Oryctolagus cuniculus: one gene and its partner. The protein of the gene in region 1 interacts with the protein of each later gene in a biochemical or structural test. Links are inferred from orthologs where the notes say so. Each region holds a gene or a part of one and is shown on either strand. Other genes may lie near its edges. The genes, in order: DCN and TGFB1.

What was found.
Region 2: the proteins of DCN (region 1) and TGFB1 form a complex in vitro, tested with the Homo sapiens proteins (3 studies listed by BioGRID). The link is inferred for Oryctolagus cuniculus from reciprocal best matches to the Homo sapiens genes DCN and TGFB1.

Annotation. Positions count from the first base shown.
Region 1 is NC_091442.1:93,983,898-93,987,709, reverse strand, and holds part of DCN (decorin precursor), read left to right. Parts: intron 1-3,399; coding exon 3,400-3,538; intron 3,539-3,812. UniProt on the Homo sapiens protein: May affect the rate of fibrils formation.
Region 2 is NC_091449.1:13,277,946-13,281,794, forward strand, and holds the start of TGFB1 (transforming growth factor beta-1 proprotein), read left to right. Parts: upstream 1-804; 5' UTR 805-1,731; coding exon 1,732-2,092; intron 2,093-3,849. Other genes in the region: B9D2 (B9 domain-containing protein 2), read left to right, coding at 1-135. UniProt on the Homo sapiens protein: Transforming growth factor beta-1 proprotein: Precursor of the Latency-associated peptide (LAP) and Transforming growth factor beta-1 (TGF-beta-1) chains, which constitute the regulatory and active subunit of TGF-beta-1, respectively.

The DNA of each region.
Region 1 (3,812 bases):
TTTCATATTTTTGAACACCATATTAATTTTATAGCTTATGAATAAGGTTTTCTATTTCAAAATCAGTTTTTAATGAATATGTTCATTGAATATATTCTAGTTTATTAATGTCAAACAGAGGATTAAGTAAATTCAGTGTCCTGAATTTGCAAATGCATCAGAATGAAAGCTACTAGGACGTGGAAATATCAGACTTCTGACAGATCCCTATTAAAAAACTTGTGATGAGATTTCCGAATCCTTTATTCTCTGGAGAGTTTAAAAGAAAATAAAATGGATCTGTACACTAAATATTTTTTTTCTCTTTCTGTCCATTGTTAAAATTTTTCTTCATAAATGATAACTTGTGCCTGTCCTGATTTCTAACAACCGCAGTCTCTGTATTCACAATCTGGTTAAGTAATAAGGAAGGAAAGCACTGGGAAACTTTCTCAGCTGTATTCAAGAAGTACTCTGTTCTCAATCCACGTATTTTGCTAAATGTTCCAATAGAAAAGCACAGTATTATGCCACATTGACTCTCTTGTCTTTTTGTATATAAACTCCGTGTTGATGAATAAAAACGCAGCACATCCTTGTATCTTTGAGAAATGCCTATGAGCAAATCGATGCAGAACACAGTTTTCCTCATTTCCATGGCTATTTCCCAATGATTCCGTGCATGAAGAAAACTGAAGAGGACCATACGCATGTTACTGTAGCTAAAATATATTATCCTGGTGTCCCAAATAGTAAGAACTGCTTCATCTAGAGCTATTTTAATTACAGTCTCTAAGGATGAAAACATTTTTCACAATGACATATGCATCACCTGCACCCCTTTATTGATTAGATCCCTCTAGTTGCTGAAAAATGTAGGCAGATAAGTTGTGTTGTTTTCTGTGTAAATTTGTCTTTATGATGGTTACTGTTATTGAATTATTATTATAAGTGGTTACAGCAGTAGTAGGAATAAATAATATTCTGAAGTGATAAATAGACTATATTCTAAATTATTCATAATGGATGTCTTTTTGAAAGTTCATATTTGAAAGTGGTAAGGAGGTCATGAGATTCTGTACCTCAGTAATGATATGTCATATGCTTTGTATCAGATGGAAGTGTAGAGAGCTAATATATGCTGAAAAGCCTAATGGAAGTTCAAATTTCTCTTTAAATGGACTTTGGATTCCATGTGTTAAATTAGAGCACATTACTGCATTGGTCAGGCAAATTTCCACAGTTCTTTAGTTTATCATGCACATTGCTTTTAGAATCAAATCCATCCAGAAACATCTATATATTAAACCACTAAATATTTTTGGTTTTTACTCCTCATTGACACTGGAACATGAGAAGAACTTTGATGCTGAAAATGAAAATTGTAAAATGAAAGAATCAGCCACCGATATCAAAACATTGTTTCATAGAAAGTGTTCCAATTTGTTATTGAGAAAAACAAGTCAGGAGAAAATAGTGAATACCTCCATCACAAAGAAAAAAATTCCTTACTGAATATACAATAGGTAGCTGAGTAAAGGAATATTTTCCTTGAATTAATTATTAGATATTTTAAAACAAACATGCCAGTCCACACTGAGACTTGAAATACTGTGAAGAATAGGAAATACAATTTGAAATAGAAAAATGAAAACTCAGAAACAAGAGGTGAACATTCAAGATGGGAAAAAACCAAAATTTTCTGAGTCAAGATGTCAAGTTAATAAGCAAAAGCTGAGATAAACTAATGATACTATCAATTCCAATTGTTTCAAAAAGCAAAACATGATTAAAATTGGGCAACTCTACTTACCTAAGTCGACATCCAAATCTCTACAGAGTCCATTGATCATACATAGCTTAAATTTAGGAAAATATATCTTATGGTGTGCAGATACTATCCCTTTTATTGAAAAGAATCCGATAGATTCTTCCTCTCTCTCTGTCTCTCCTTGTAATATTCTGGCTCTGTTCCATTATCTCCTTGCCCCATTCCTGGCAGCCCTATCTGTCTGGTGAATTGACATCATGCTATTCTTGAAGATTTCATTTATACAATGTCGAATAGTCTAGCAATATCCCCATGTCAACTTTTGTGCCTGAATTCCCATTTACAAGAAGGGGATGTCACAGCAGCAAAAACCTCATCTATTACACCTTTAACTTAAAAGATATGAGCCAAAACCTTGATTGAATCAAACCTGCAGGGTATATATGTGGGGCGGAGAGATATCTAACTCAGTACCTAGGAATGCTGGGGCCAGGAAAGCTCTGAGAGACAGAGGACCACTGAGGAATGTTCTGCACCTCTTATTTCCAATGAATAAATTTTTAAGATATATGATTGCTTATTTTCAAAGTGACCAAAACAATACACTACTTCTTTAGGTTCTCTCTTAGATGAGTTTGCTATATTCATTATACATGTAAACCAATTCAACATCTATTTATGGGACATGACAAATTCTGAGTTAATACCACAGATAACATAGAGTAATCATTATTACAAGGACAGGGACACACATTGGAGTACCTGGGTTCAATTCCCAACTCCAGCTCCTGATCCAGCTTCTTGCTAATCCAGACTCTGAGACAGCAGTGATAGTTCAAGTAATTGGGCTTCTGCTACCCACATGGATGTGCTGGCTTGTGTTCCAGCTCTCAGCTTTAGTCCCTGTTAAGTGCCAGCCACTGTGGGTATTTGGGGAATGATTAAATGGATTATAGGATCATAGAGTGTTCTCTCTCTCTCTACCTCTCTCTCTCTCTCTGCCTCTCAAATAAGCAAATAAATTTTTATAAAGATTTATTTTTATTTATTTGAAAGACAGAGTTATATAGAGTTAGAGCCAGAGAGCGAGAGAGGTTTCCATCCGCCGATTTACTCCCCAAATGGCCCCAATGGCAAGAGCTGAGCTGATCAGGAGCTTCTTCTGGGTCTCCCACATGGGTGGAGGGGCCCAAGAACTTGGGCCATCTTCTACTGTTTTTCCAGGTCACAACAGAGAGCTAGATTGGAAGTGGAGCAGCTGGGACTGGAATCAGCACCATATGGGATGCTGGCACTGCAGGCTAGGGCTTTAATCTGCTGTGCCACAGCACCGGCCCCTGCATATAAAATTTTAAAAAGCACAATCCTCCAAGTTTTATTAGAGGTTGGCCATTCAAGGTTATAGAGTACTAGTACAAGAACTCATGTTTTTGTCAGAGATATGTCAAAGAAAGTAACTTTGAACTGAAACCTTAAGAATAAATGGCTTTGTATAGGCTTTAAAAAGGTGGGAAAAAGCAGTCTAAGCACAAGGAATGATAGGAGCCAAGTCAAGCTCAGCCTTTTCTATCAACTTAATTATTGACACAACACATGTAAGAAAGGCACCCATATGTGGTGTACAGATTCATTTCTGCTTTCCGTTGCAGGTTGGGTCTGAGTTTCAATGACATCTCTGCTGTGGACAATGGTTCTCTGGCCAATGCCCCTCATCTGCGAGAGCTTCACTTGGACAACAACAAACTTATCCGAGTACCTGGTGGTCTGGCAGATCATAAATACATTCAGGTAATACAACACCACTGCTTCCTATGAGGGATAACTTAGAGTAAACGCTCCCTACGCTTATGCTAAGAGTCAGGAAGCACTACTTAGAAATGTTGCTTGCAGAATGTCTTAGCTAGAGCTCTCATAACAAAATAGCATAAATTGAGTGTCTTAAACAACAAAAATTTATCTCTCATCATAATGGAAGCTGAGTATCTGAGATCATGGTGGAGGACTGGTAAGGTTCTGTCAAGATACCCCTTCCAGTTTGAAAACTGCCAACTTCTTGATTTTT
Region 2 (3,849 bases), on another chromosome or scaffold:
CCGCAGCTGCTGCACGGGGACACCATCTACAGCGGGGCTGACCGCTACCGCCTGCACACAGCCGCGGGTGGCACTGTGCACCTGGAGCTTGGCCTGCTGCTGCGCCACTTCGACCGCTACGGTGTTGAGTGCTGAGGCTCTGCCCGAGCTGTCACCGGCATCCACACCCCTGCGCGGCCAGCGAGGGTCAGGATGGCGCGGAGGTCAGCATCGGGGGCCCCAGAGACTTGTCTGCAGCCAAGGCATGGGACGACTTCGGTCCTTGCCAGGACCTCCAGGCCTGTAACTGCCCCTTGCTGCCCAGTTTCTGTCTCTGTAAAATGGGGCAGGAAGGATGCCAGCACCCGGGGGTTGGGTGAGAAGGGGCTACTTAGCACCCGGGCAGGGTTCAATAAAGGTGGGTGCAACTTATAGGTACCAGTGCCTTCGTGACCCCCTTCTTGTGCCCCCCTCACCTGCTGCCCTCTTTCCTCGGGCCCCCATCCTGTGCCCTAGCCCCTCACCCTTCCAGTTCTGAGACACCCCTCGCCCTAGTCCCCCCCTCCCAGTGTCCCCTCCCTGCCAGGTCTCTCACCGCGCATGGCCCCACTGTGATGGTGCATCTCAGGCACCGCTTTGGTAGCACTCAGCCGCCAGGAGGCAGCACCCCTTTCCCGTTCGCGGGGCGGAGCCGGGTGCCCGCCCCCCCAGGGCAGAAGGGACCCCCCTCGGAGCCCGCCCACTCGAGATCAGGACGGTGGCCCGCCCGTCCGCTCGCCCGCCCTGCCCCCTGGAGGCTTCCCCCGCCCCACGCGCTTCCTGGGTGGGGCCGGGGCGGCTTCAAAACCCCCCGCCGCCCTGGCCGGTCCCCGCCGACGCCGCCCTTCGCGCCCCGGTCCGTCCCCCTCCCTCCTCCCGCCGCGGATCCGCCAGACAGCGAGGCCCCCGACCGGGGGCAGGGGGGACGCCCCCTCCGGGGCACCCCCCCGGCTCGGAGCTGCCCGCGGGCAGAGCCTGGGCCCCGAGCGCAGCTGAGCGGAGGAAGGAGCCGCCGAGGAGCAGCCCGAGGCCACAGTCTGAGAAGAGCCGCCCCCGCCGCCGCCGCCGCCGCCGCCGCCGCCGCCGCCGCCGCCACTGCGGGGAGGAGGGGGAGGAGGAGCGGGAGGAGGGACGAGCTGGTTGGGAGAAGAGGAAAAAAGTTTTGAGACTTTTCCGCTGCGGCTGGGAGCCGGAGGCTCGGGGACCGCTTGGCGCGGCGCTGGCCCAGGGGGAGGCAGGACTTGGGGACCCCAGGCCGCCCCTTTCCTCACCGCCTCGGACGCTTGCTCCCTCGCTGCCTCCTACACAGCGACCCCCGTTCCGGACCAGCCCTCCGAGCCTCGGACCCTTTCTCCCGCGAAGGCTTTGCCCCAGCCTCAGGCTCACCTTCTGCCCGTCTCCTGAACCCCGAGCATCCTAGGACCTTCCCTCCTCTGGGGACGGGTCTCAGCCCTGCTCCAGCTCCCCTACTCAAGACCACCCACCTTCTGGTAGTAGAACTCGCCTGTCTCCGTTTCTTTCGTGGGATACCGAGACACCCTGGCCACAGCCTCCCCTCCACCCCTGCTTCTGTCTTCCTGAGGGCCTCAACTTTTCCCTGAGACCCTCCTCCCTTACCCCGGGAGACCCTCAGCCCCTTCAGGGGCGGGGCCTCCCCATCCCACCCCAGCCCTGTTCGCGCTCTCGGCAGTGCCGGGGTGCGCCGCCTCCCCCATGCCGCCCTCCGGGCTACGGCTGCTTCTGCCGCTGCTGCTGCTGCCGCTGCTGTGGCTCCTAGTGTTGACGCCCGGCCGGCCGGCCGCGGGACTGTCCACCTGCAAGACCATCGACATGGAGCTGGTGAAGCGGAAGCGCATCGAGGCCATCCGCGGCCAGATCCTGTCCAAACTGCGGCTCGCCAGTCCCCCGAGCCAGGGGGAGGTGCCGCCCGGTCCGCTTCCCGAGGCCGTGCTCGCCCTGTACAACAGCACCCGCGACCGGGTGGCCGGGGAGAGCGCCGAGCCGGAGCCGGAGCCCGAGGCCGACTACTACGCCAAGGAGGTCACCCGCGTGCTAATGGTGGACAGCAACAACAGTGAGCTCCGAGGGACGGGGACCCGGGAGGGGGCCCCCAGGGGGCGCCGGAGCGCAGGGGTCAGGGAGGAAATTACCCGCGGAGGACACAGCGGGAGGAAGGGGACCCCTGGGTGCACAGGGAACGTGGGGGAGGGCGTGTCCTAAAGACGAGGGCGCTGAGCTCCCCGACCCTCAGGGACTGGTCCTGGAACAGTGCGCCAAGTGCACGGGACCCGCGGGGGCGAGGGAGGTCCCGGGGGACACAGGCAATGGGGTAGAAGCCGTTCCCTCCGCAGGGCCCGTGGAATGCGGGGGTCGCGGGGTGGGAGCTGCAGAGAGGGGTGCTCTGTGGGTAGAGGCTGAGCCCCTAGTTTGTGGGTAAGGGAGCCAATGAGAAAGCTGGGCAGAATTGGGGGTCACGAAACAGAAAGACGGAAGGAGCAAAAGCGAACAGCAGCAAAGTGCCAGGAGCGTGGACCTGCTTCCAGGGCGCACAGGACACGCAGGACTGCAGGGGTCGTGGCAAAGAGGCGGTGGTCTGCGTGACGGGTGCGGGCATGGGACGCGAGGCCGGCGGTGGGAGGAGGAGGCTGACGGGAGAGGAGCGGAGACCCGGAGCGCGTGCCCAGGGTGCGTGCAGAGGGTCGCGCGTGCTTGCAGCCGGAGTGAAGGCACAGAGCAGGGAATCCCAGGAACCAGGACTCCTGAGTCGGGGAAGGGGCTTCCGGAGAGGGGAGGGGCGTGGGAAAGGTGTGTTGGGATGGGGCAGAGGGGAGGTGGCGGTGCTCTGGGCGCTGAGCCGCGAAACCCGCTCGCTGTGGGATGGGAGGGGCCGGACGAGGAGTGGAGCGGTTGGGGGGAGGTCTGGGCGGGGGCGCCCGTGCGAGGCCCAGGTGAAAAAAGTGAGCAGGTGGGGGTGAGGCTGCCCCACATGGGTGCCACGCGCGGCGGGGAGGAGCTCGCTTTTCCCGAAGAGGAAGGAGGACCCCGCAGGGCTGAAGGCCGGCACTGCGGACCCCGGAGTTGCAGTTCCTCCGGGGAGGCTGGGGAAACCCCAGCGTCCGGCCGCCACCCCTCCTCCCTTCCCTTTCCTTCCCGTGGCCCGGGGGCGGGGATCGCGCGCGGAGCCTGGGGCGAGACGAGGCAGGTCTGTCTCCGCCCTCGCGGCAGCGGCGCGTCCCGCCCCTCTCCCCCCAGCTGTGGGAGGGGTGCCTGTGGGCCCGCCCCGTCGGCGCCCACGCGGGGACCCAGGCTGCCTCGTGGCCTGGGGACTTGGGGTGAATCCCCAGGTTTCACTTTATGTCCTGTGCGGTGGGCTTGGGGGTCCCTGGCTCGCGCCCGCGCCTGATGTGCAGCTGTAGTCCAAAGGCGCCCCTTCCCCACCCACTGGTCCATCTGGCCTCGCTTCCGCTTTCTCCTTCGCCCGCGGTGTGAATTAGTTCACTGAGTTTCTCCTGAGGAGGCCACGTCCTCTTCCCTAAACTCGCGTGTCTCCGCGGGTGTGTCCATCGTGGCCCTCCTATTCCTGTGTGAGCCTCCTTCCCCGGTCTGTCTCTCTCCCTCAGCCCCCTCCCGGCACCCTCCAGCCCTGCCTGGACTTCTCACTTCCTATCCCTCACCCCAGCCTCGCTCTGCCCTTCTCCTGGGGTTTGCTGAGTAACAGCTGGCCAAGAGCAGGCTTATTTGGGGGTGGAGGGGGGAGCAAGGGAAGTGACTCCCTCTGTTTCACAAAATCACTCTAGGGGTCCCAGAGCAGGTGACCCACTGCATGGCCTG